2 linked regions of the Callithrix jacchus genome follow. The protein of the gene in region 1 interacts with the protein of each later gene in a biochemical or structural test. Links are inferred from orthologs where the notes say so. Each region holds a gene or a part of one and is shown in the gene's direction. Other genes may lie near its edges.

What was found. The genes of interacting proteins can lie anywhere in the genome.
Region 2: the proteins of SYTL4 (region 1) and RAB8A form a complex in vitro, tested with the Homo sapiens proteins (2 studies listed by BioGRID). The link is inferred for Callithrix jacchus from reciprocal best matches to the Homo sapiens genes SYTL4 and RAB8A.

What each region holds. Positions count from the first base shown.
Region 1 is NC_133524.1:96,994,187-96,999,050, reverse strand, and holds part of SYTL4 (synaptotagmin-like protein 4), read left to right. Parts: coding exon 1-34; intron 35-503; coding exon 504-579; intron 580-972; coding exon 973-1,063; intron 1,064-1,178; coding exon 1,179-1,267; intron 1,268-2,120; coding exon 2,121-2,225; intron 2,226-3,326; coding exon 3,327-3,505; intron 3,506-3,791; coding exon 3,792-3,894; intron 3,895-4,425; coding exon 4,426-4,587; intron 4,588-4,864. UniProt on the Homo sapiens protein: Modulates exocytosis of dense-core granules and secretion of hormones in the pancreas and the pituitary. Interacts with vesicles containing negatively charged phospholipids in a Ca(2+)-independent manner.
Region 2 is NC_133523.1:14,740,416-14,745,279, forward strand, and holds part of RAB8A (ras-related protein Rab-8A), read left to right. Parts: intron 1-954; coding exon 955-1,032; intron 1,033-2,918; coding exon 2,919-3,008; intron 3,009-3,600; coding exon 3,601-3,666; intron 3,667-4,864. UniProt on the Homo sapiens protein: The small GTPases Rab are key regulators of intracellular membrane trafficking, from the formation of transport vesicles to their fusion with membranes.

The sequences.
Region 1 (4,864 bases):
ATAGCTTCACAGCTGACTCAGATAGCACCTCCAGGTGAGGTTTCCTCATTTCTCTCATCTCCACACTACCCAAGTTGCGATTTTGTTCTGCAGCATCAGTGTTCCTGACTTCTGTCCTCAGGAAGTTGAATGGAGTATTTCCTCTGACCTCACCAGAAGTCTTTTCCGTAGCACGTGTACTGATTTGGCTCTGAGCACAGCTTCCTGGATCATATTGGCTTCCCCAGTCAATTCCCCCAGTACCTTGGAGTATTCTTCTTAGCCCTGTAGCAACTGATGCTGCTGTCCTTTAAGAATGAGGGATCTGAGTGTTTGTGTTTGTGCAAAGTTGCTTATCTGATCTTCTGCATTCCTTCCAGGTAAATCAGATGTGAAGTATACCTTCTGAATTTGGTTATTACCATGACCCAAGGCACTGGCTTTCCTTCCATAGAGCTTTGATCTCTGGGTGCAAGGGGAAGGGGAGGAGGTGACTTAGTTATAACTTGTGAATCTATCTCCAGGAGAGACTCTCTGGAAAAATCTGGCCTCTTTCCAGAATGGAAGAAGATGTCTGTTCCCAAATCTCAAGTAGAAAAGGTAAGCTGCAGGTTACTGAGCCACCTTCCTTCCCTCCCTTCCTTCCCTTCCTCCTTTACCTCCCTGTCTCCCTCCATCTTTCCCTTCCTCCCTCCCCTTCATTCTTCTCTTCCTCTTTCTTCCCTCCCTCCCTCCATTCTCTTAGGCAGAATTTGAATCAGGAATTTAACTAAACAAATTTCAGTTCAGAGTCACTTGGGAGCATTTTCTAAGGTTTTGGTTGAAATGTGTGAGAAAATAGGTTTTGTACTATTCCTAGGCACATAATCTTTCCTTTAAGTTTGTCATAGTTTCGGGAAAATCTGAGCCTCATTCTTCTTAAGGCTATCCTTCCTTACTCCTTCTACCTGTCCATCTGTCCTTTTCCATTTTCGTGCCCTTGTTCCTTTCTAGGAAACTCAGCCTGGATGTCAAAATGTGGTATTTGTGGATGAGGGTGAGATGATATTTAAGAAGAATACCAGGAAAATCCTCAGGCCGTCAGGTAACTGGTTTCCCTTACTGGTCTTTTGGGACTAAAGTTCTGAGTACCCTTGATGGGCTCTTGGTAAGGAGAAGAATAGGTTTCTTCTGATTTGGCTTTTTGGTTTTCTCCTCAGAGTACACCAAGTCTGTGATAGATCTTCGCCCAGAAAGTGGCCCCTTGGGAGACAGAAGCAAATCTGTCCCAGGCCTCAATGTAGATATGGTAAGTGCCCTTGTATTTTACTGTCACTATATGAAATTTTATTTATCTAGATTTGGCTTTAGTACCTGAGATTCTCAATCAACCTATTTAATTCTTTAGGAAAAGGCAACATGAAACTTGATACCCCAAATTTCTGAAGTAAATCTGGTTCCTGATTTGCTTAAAGGAAAGGACTGTCTTTGCTATCTCTTTTCTTTCTTTCTCTTTCACAGTGTCTCACTCTGTTGCCCAGGCTGGAGTGTAATGGCACAATTATAGCTCAGTGCCACCTTGAACTCCTGGGCTCGAGCTGTCCTCTCACCTCAGCCTCCTGAGTAGCTGGGACTTTAGGCATGAATCATCATACCTGGCTAATTTCTTTCATTCATTTTTTTTTTTTTTGGGAGAGATGGGTGTCTCACTATATTGCCCAGCCTAGTCTGGAATTCCTGAGCTCAAGTAATCTACACTCTTCTGCCTCCCAAAGTGTTGGAATTACAGGCATGAGCCACCATGCCTGGCCATCTCTTTTATTTTCTAATAAATTGCTGGATATATGACTGGGGATCAAATAAATACTTCTCTTGGTTAAAATATAAAGAGATAGCTGGGTTGGGGAAAGTCTAATGGAAAAGAGTTATAGCTTTTATGAAAAACATTAAATATTCTTATCTTATTCTTTGAGATATGAGAAGGATGGTTGGAATAGAGCTGGGAAGCCTGAAATGGGAAGACATATAAAAAGAAGAATATGTGCATATACATACAACTCGGAGCTTTATGACAATTATGGCTCCCACTAAAGGAAAGGTGTTAGTCTTTGAAGCTAAAGAAAGGTATTTCTTTTATTAATTCTGAATCTATATTGTTCTAGGAAGAGGAAGAAGAAGAAGAAGAAGAAGAAGAAGACATTGACTACTTAGTGAAGTTACATCGCCAGAAGTTAGCCAGAAGCAGCATGCAAAGTGGCTCCTCCATGGTAAGTTCTATTAGATCTGTGGGTATAGGCATATTGGGGTGCTAGGAAGAAAAGAAGCACCTCCCTAGAGCAGACTCGGGACCTGGGGAAACCATCCTAGTCACTCTTTTCAGGTAAGTAAGATGCGTTTGTTTGTTCCTATCCTCAATTTAGACTATAGATGCTTAGTGTACATCTAGGTGACTTCCTGAGTCCCCATCCTGGAGATTATTACATATAGATAATTAAGGCTGGGGACATTCTTCATCACAGCTTTGTGAGCAATAACCTCAACTTATCCTTTAAAGAGGTACCCAGGCTGTGAAGTGAGCAAGATCAGATTTCTTCATCATAGCGCACTCTAAATTCCCAACATTAAAGGAAAGTGAGTGTCATGAGAGGGGCCCTGGCAGGGTTAGTCAACATCAGGGTATGGCTAACAATCAACAACACCAGTAAGGATAATGAAGTTAAGGGAACATTTATGAATCAGGGCCTGGTTCTGTTATAAGCATGGAGATTGATATTTAGGGAAAGAGTCAAGAACAAGAGTAAACAGAGTTTGTTCACATTCACAGGAAGAGAAGGTCAGCTCACAAGACCAATTACTACCAGAAAGGAAGGTGCCTTTTCACTTCTGGTCGGGTTTCCTCCTTCCCACTCACTCCCAATTCTGGCTGAATCTCTTTTCTCTATAGGTCCTGATAGACATAAGGTGGATAAGAGAAACCCACCTTGTTTTAGTTAGTGACTAACACCATTCTAGCCGATGTTTTAGTGTATATAACACAGTTCCCAAATGGACTTACGTGCACCTTGCCTCTGCTCCCTGCCCGCCTCCTGGGGCAGATGAAAATGAACACTAAAATTTGTACAACCAGGAGAAGAAGAGAAGCTAAGAGGCTAGGTGAGCCATGAACTGATTTATTCACCTGAACAGTTATGAGTCCTGGTAGTTCTCTTTTACCCTCTGGGTCAAGGAGTGTGGGCAGCACTGGATCATTGCAGGGGCTTCTGAATCTTCTGTTCAGTGACTGTGGCTTTATCATGAGGGAAGATATGAACAATGTGGCGGGGGTGGAGTGTGCCTTCCCCAGATGTTCGTGAGTGCTTTTTCTTCAGAGTACAATCGGCAGCATGATGAGCATCTACAGTGAAGCTGGTGACTTCGGGAACGTCTCTGTGACTGGCAGGATTGCCTTTTCCCTGAAGTATGAACAGCAAACACAGAGTCTCGTCGTCCATGTGAAGGAGTGCCACCAGCTGGCCTATGCTGATGAAGCCAAGAAGCGCTCTAACCCGTGAGTGCTTCTGGAACCTGACTGATGCTCTGAGACTGGAGAACAGACCCCAGCATCTGTCTGGGCACTCTTGAACAGAGCTTATCCCTTTCCTTGGGAGCAGGGAGGTGTGATGTAGGAAAGGAACCAGGATTGGGGAAAAAGCAAGAATGGCATGTCTAAGAGGGCTTGAGGTGACATTTTTGACATCACATATCACCATGCCATATTCATATGGAGAGCAGGAAAGTGAAGAGCAGGCTTGAGAAAGGCCAGCAAATTACTCAGTATACTCTTTGGTTTCTAGGTATGTGAAGACTTACCTTCTGCCTGACAAATCCCGCCAAGGAAAAAGAAAAACTAGTATCAAGCGGGATACCATTAATCCACTATATGATGAGACCCTCAGGGTAAGTATCTAGACCCCAAGGGTAGAAGAACCTGTTTTGTCTTGTGCCCGAGGCTGTAACTATTCCTCTGCAACATGGCCAGGTGACATGAGTTTCAGTGGGCCATGTCTGTGTGTGAGGATACATTGGGTACCTGTTCACATCCTGATTTCCCAGTGAAGAGAACAAAGGTGCTCCGCCTTTCCTGGATTGTTGTGAAGTTGGAGATTCACATGGCCACAAATCTCATTTTAAAAAGACATTTGAGATAAGGAATCTCCTTGTCAGTTGTTTTTGGACGACTCAGTATTCTCTCACCTACTCAAGGAAAATCTAATTTTCCAGATCTTCCTATGGAATATGGTAGGTTTTTTATAAAATGAGGTAAGTTGAGGCTTTGAGTGAGGAAACTCAAAGTGCTTAGGGAATATAAAGGAATTTGGTATTCAGGACTAGTGACTTCAGGAATGGTTGCTCAGGTTTTGGAATATTCTTGTCTGAGGAATTATCCTAAACTAATAATCATCTTGGGCTTCTACTTTCCCTTCCCAGTATGAGATCCCAGAATCTCTCCTGGCCCGGAGGACCCTGCAGTTCTCAGTTTGGCATCACGGCCGTTTTGGCAGAAACACTTTCCTTGGAGAGGCAGAGATCCAGATGGATTCCTGGAAGCTTGATAAGAAACTGGATCATTGCCTCCCTTTACATGGAAAGGTAGTCTGCTTTAATAACTCATGCAGTTTGGATTTGAGGTAGAATTGTCTGCAGTAGCCTCTGCTGGTCTATGTTGGTAGTGTCTTTGAATGTAGTCTTCTCTGGAGTTCTAGTGTCCCCTGCTGGTGTTTCTGAGTTTGACAGCAATTTCAGAGGCATTTGTACATCCAGCGTGCTGTGTAAATCAGGCAAAGTATGAAGCCATGGTTTTGCTTTGAAATAATGTTCATATGTGTCCTAAGCTTTGCCTCCTAACCTTCCAGAATCTGGGTGTATC
Region 2 (4,864 bases), on another chromosome or scaffold:
AGATTCAAGCTGTTCTCCACCTCAGCCTGCCGAGTAGCTGGGATTACAGGCATGTGCCACCACGCCTGGCTAACTTTTTGTATTTTTAGTAGAGACAGGGTTTCACCATGTTGGCCAGGCTGGTCTTGAACTCCTGACCTCAAGTGATCCACCCACCTTGGCCTTTCAAAGTGCTGGGATTACAGGCATGAGCCACCACACCTGGCCGATGAGCTGCTGCACCTGGCCCCAGGCTTGAATCTTAAAGGTCATGTCTCTGTGCCTCAGTTTCCCCTTGCATCACATAGGCATGTTTGCCCTTGTCCACAGCAGTGGTGAGGCTGTGGACCCAGGCTGAGGCAGGGCTGCCCCGAAGCTCTTTCAGGACCAATGGGCCGTCTTCATATGTTGGTTAGGGAACCGGATAGGCCTCAGCGCACCCAACCCTTCTTCACATAGCTGGTCCCCTCTGTGATGGGGTCACTGGAAGTTGCGTGGATGTCAGGTCAGGACTCCCTGGGTTTAGTCATGCCTGGAAGGTGGCTCTGGCAGACCGTGGGTTGAGCAAGGGGTGAAGAGGAGGCTGACTGCAGGAGAGGGTCAGCGTGAGGGGAGCCCTGCTGGCAGTGGGCCTGTGGAACAGCTCCCAGCGTCAGGCTGCACCACCCTGTGGGCCACAAGGGGAGCCAGTGGGGCTTGTCATCGAGGGCGTGGCGGGGGCCTGTGAGGCAGAAGGGTCACCTCAGCAGCCCAGGGGGCGGGACAAGACTGGTGCCAGAGCCCAGCAGAAGGAAGGGCCGCAGGGATGGAGAGGAGATGGCTGGCCTCTGGGGTGCCACAGAGGCGGGAAGAGTGGCAGCAACAGGCCTGGCTGTGCGGCGGGTGCTGGGCTCTGCACCATTCTCCTGTGCTGCTGGGGCCTTGCCTCCAGAGTCTGCAGCTGATGAAACACCCGTGTCTCCTCTCCCCGCCCAGGGCATCATGCTGGTTTATGACATCACCAACGAGAAGTCCTTTGACAACATCCGGAACTGGATTCGAAACATTGAGGAGGTGAGGCCTGCCGGCTCTTCCCACTGTCCCTGCTTCAGTCCTTGTCCCAGCGCTCTCTGGTTTACCTATGAGAAGGCCAGGGTGCAGAGACACACACAGGTCACTTGCCAATAGCCTCCAAATCAGGGACTCAGTGGGAGCAGGGACTGAGACACAGGCAGCCGGCCCCAGGGACCACACCCTGGCCTGGCCCCGCCCCAGAGCCCTTCGGAGCCCACCCCTCCAGCTGGGCTGTTGGATCTGGCCAGCGTCACAGTCATAAGAGAAGGAACATCCAAGCTTGTGGTCACCATGCGCATTGGCTGCTTTCTAGAGAAGGAAGGTTCTAGCGCAGGTGTGACCCTTGTAGTCGGAGGGTGTGGTAGCTGGCCAGTCAGTTGTACTTTGAGCTGTATCAGAGCTGGGTGTGACCTGCTACAAACTACCTGTGTTCAGACCTTGACCCATAGAAGGGAGAGGAGGAAGCCAATCCCTCCTCCCCCTCCCAAAGCCATCTTTATCTTCCTGCTCCCCAAAAAACTGACCTCACCCCCAAAGCCTTCCTGGCCAGCGGCACCTGCAGCTTTTGACAGCTAACCAGGTGGAGCTTCAGGTCTGAGGCACAGCCAGATAACTTTTCCCATCTATAATGCCAGCGCAAAATGGCACATCACTGTCCACCCAGGACTCATGGACCCCCTCAGGCCAGGCTGAGAGGCCACCCCATCATTTATGAGTCATTGCACTGGGCTCAGCTCCTCAATGATCCTGAGAGGGCTGAGCTGCCGAATTAGCCAGTGCAAGGCTGCACCCTGGCTGGGGAAGCCGTCTTCATCCATGGAGAGGAGCAGAGCCTGGTCTTTGCGAACGGTCTGTTTCTGGCCAGCAGGCAGGAGCACCTTCTTATTCATGGGCAGTGAGGCAGGGAGTGGCACAGTAGGTTCCAGAGACCAGGCCTCAGCTGGTGAAAGAAGACAGCAGTTTCCAGTGTCCCCATTCTTCAGGAAGCACGGTTGACTCCATGAGGACCCAGGAAGGTCTGATGAAGGAGCTGCCTGTGGGTGTGAAGGCAGAGTTTGGGCAGCACCACATGGTATGGTGAAGTGCCTGGGGCTGGTGACAGCCTCGAGTTGCGATCACCTCAGGCATGGCCCGTTTCTGGAGCCCACAGAAAGAGTTGAAATGTCAAGGCCAGGCATGGTGGCTCACGCCTATAATCCCAGCACTTTGGGATGCCAAGGCTGGTGGATCACCTGAGGTCAGAAGTTTGAGACCAGCCTGGCCAAAATGGTGAAACCCAGCCTCTACTAAAAATATAAAACATTAGTCAGGCATGGTGGCTCACCGCTGTCATCTCAGCTATTGACTGAGGATCACTTGAACCCAGAGGCAGAGGTTGCAGTGAGCTGAGATCATGCCACTACACTCCAGCCTGGGAGACAGAACGAGACTCCTTCCTTTAAAAAAAAAAAAAAAAAAAAAAAGAGTAGAGCAGAAGGTCCCAGGACAACAGCTAAAGCCTCCTGCAGAGGAGCCAGGAGGGGAGGGAGGGAGGGAGGGAGGCAAGGGTGGGGGGTAAATGTCTCAGCCTCACTCACCCCTGCAGAGGCCAGACCCCTGCAGCAGCCTGATTGACATATCCGTAGAAGCTGCCAGAAAGCATTTCAGAAAATGTGCATTTGGTCAGAGTAGCAGCTCGAACCCTGGCCCTGGCCCTGGCATTGGCTGTGTGACATGGGACTGGCTGCTCGGCCTCTCTGAGCTTCAGCTTCTCCCTTAGACTAGGCTGTGCCTAGCAGTCCTGACCCCACCACTCTGATTTCTGGGGACAGGCTCTGTGCTGTCAAAGGTACCTGGCCAGTGTCATCCAGTCTGATCCCCTCCCTGTCTCTCCCCCTCTCTCTCAGCACGCCTCTGCAGATGTCGAAAAGATGATACTCGGGAACAAGTGTGATGTGAATGACAAGAGACAAGTTTCCAAGGAACGGGGAGAAAAGGTGGGCATGGTGGCACAAGGGGCAGAGGGCCTGGGGGGTCTCAGGATTCCCATGCAGAGGCCTTCCCCATCCCTCTGCTGCCCCAGGGGCTCCCCTGAGTGCTCTCGGGTAGAAAAGTTGGGTTTTGGTGGTTCCTTTTATAAGTACATGCTATCCTGGCTTGCCTGGGACGAGTTGGTCACCCCATTGTGGCACATGCCAGGGGACAGCAGAGTGGGAAGCACATGCCCAGCTGGGGCTTCTCAGGTGCACTCTGTGGGCGTCTCGTTGAAACCCAGCATGGCCCCACTCCAGGCCTTCAAAGCCACAGGAGCAGGGGACAGAGCCGTGGTTTGATCCCAGCAGGGCCCTGCCACCCTCCCATCTCAGCTGCCCTCCCCGGCGCTCCATGCCCTGCACAGCACTGTGGAGGGGCATTCGGAATGGGCTCCCCATTGGAGAATCGAGGGAGCCACCCAGGAAGCCACAGCCCCAGCCCCAGCCCCGTTGGTGCTCCCACTTGGCACCAGCCCCGACTTCCACTCCTGTTTTGGGCAAGCTCAGATGTGCCCAGCAGCTGGTGTGCTTATATGTGTGCCTCCCTTTCTCACAGCTAGCCCTCGACTATGGAATCAAGTTCATGGAGACCAGCGCGAAGGCCAACATCAACGTGGAAAACGTGAGTCCCAGGCCCTGCTGGGAGACACGGGGCCTGCAGGATCAGCCCCTTCATGCTTAAGAGGGAGCTGGCATCCTCTGGGGAGGTCTGCCAGACAGACCAGCCTCTGGCTCCATGCTGCCAGTCAGTCCTCTGAGGGACACTTGCTGGCCAGTGCTACATGCCAGGCACAGGCGGCCTGTGGGAATCTGCCATCAGCAGGGGCAGGCCCACAAAGGGCACCTAGGACGCGTCTCATAGGCCCCTGGGCAGCCCTGGGGAATAGGCATGGTTTTACAGGTGAAGAAATTGAGGCTTAGAGAGCCCCAACTCTGTTTACACTCTCAGCCATGCCAGTCACACTGGAGAGGCCCCTGTCAAAAGCTCAGACACAGCAGGGAGCCCTGATAGGAGTTGGTCCATGCACCCTCCCCTCTCCACGGGTGACCCCAGCCCTTGCGGCCGACCCCGTGATGTTTCTCCCTCCTGGGTATGTTTCCAAGGTGGGATCTTCCACATTACTCCCACCCGAAGTGTCTGTGCTGCCTGGAAGACCAAGGCCAGAATCCTCGCCTGGCATGGAAAGCCCTCCCTCGCTGGCTACAGCTGGTGTTTGTCACCCAGGACTCAGGCATTGCCCACCCCGCTTTCTTCCTTCTCCAAGACTTTACTGCATTCCCCGCCCGTGTGCCCCCTTTTCCACCTGTCAGGTTCCCTTTGCTAGTCAGGGCCCAGCCTAGGAGGTCCCTCCCCAAGTTTGTCTTCGTCCTCTGCTAGACCTTCCTCCACACCCCAAGCCACTTTCCTCTCCAGAACCTCCCACGTCATAGGTATGTGTGTTGGGATCATGCCTCCCACCATCTCTGTATGTCCCACACTCAAGGCCGTAACAGCAGCTGGAGCCTTGGCTGTGCTGGGGCATGAACCTGTTCCTGCTCCCGGCCCGGCCAGGCAGGAACTCCAGGTGAAGCTTGTTTGGCCACAGAGCTCTTGCCTTTTCCCCTGAGCAGACAGAACCGAGGAGTCAGAGATGAAGAACTGGGCACTCCATCTAAATCCTTCTGGATCAGTCGGTTAACTTGCCTTTGGTCAAGTCACTTGGCCTCTCTGAGTCTCAGTTTCGTCTCTGGCCAACCGAGTATAGCCCCATCTCACAGGGCTTAGGGGAGGCCCCGTCAACACTAAGGTGCTCTGTGGAAGTGAGAGTTGGCATTGGAGA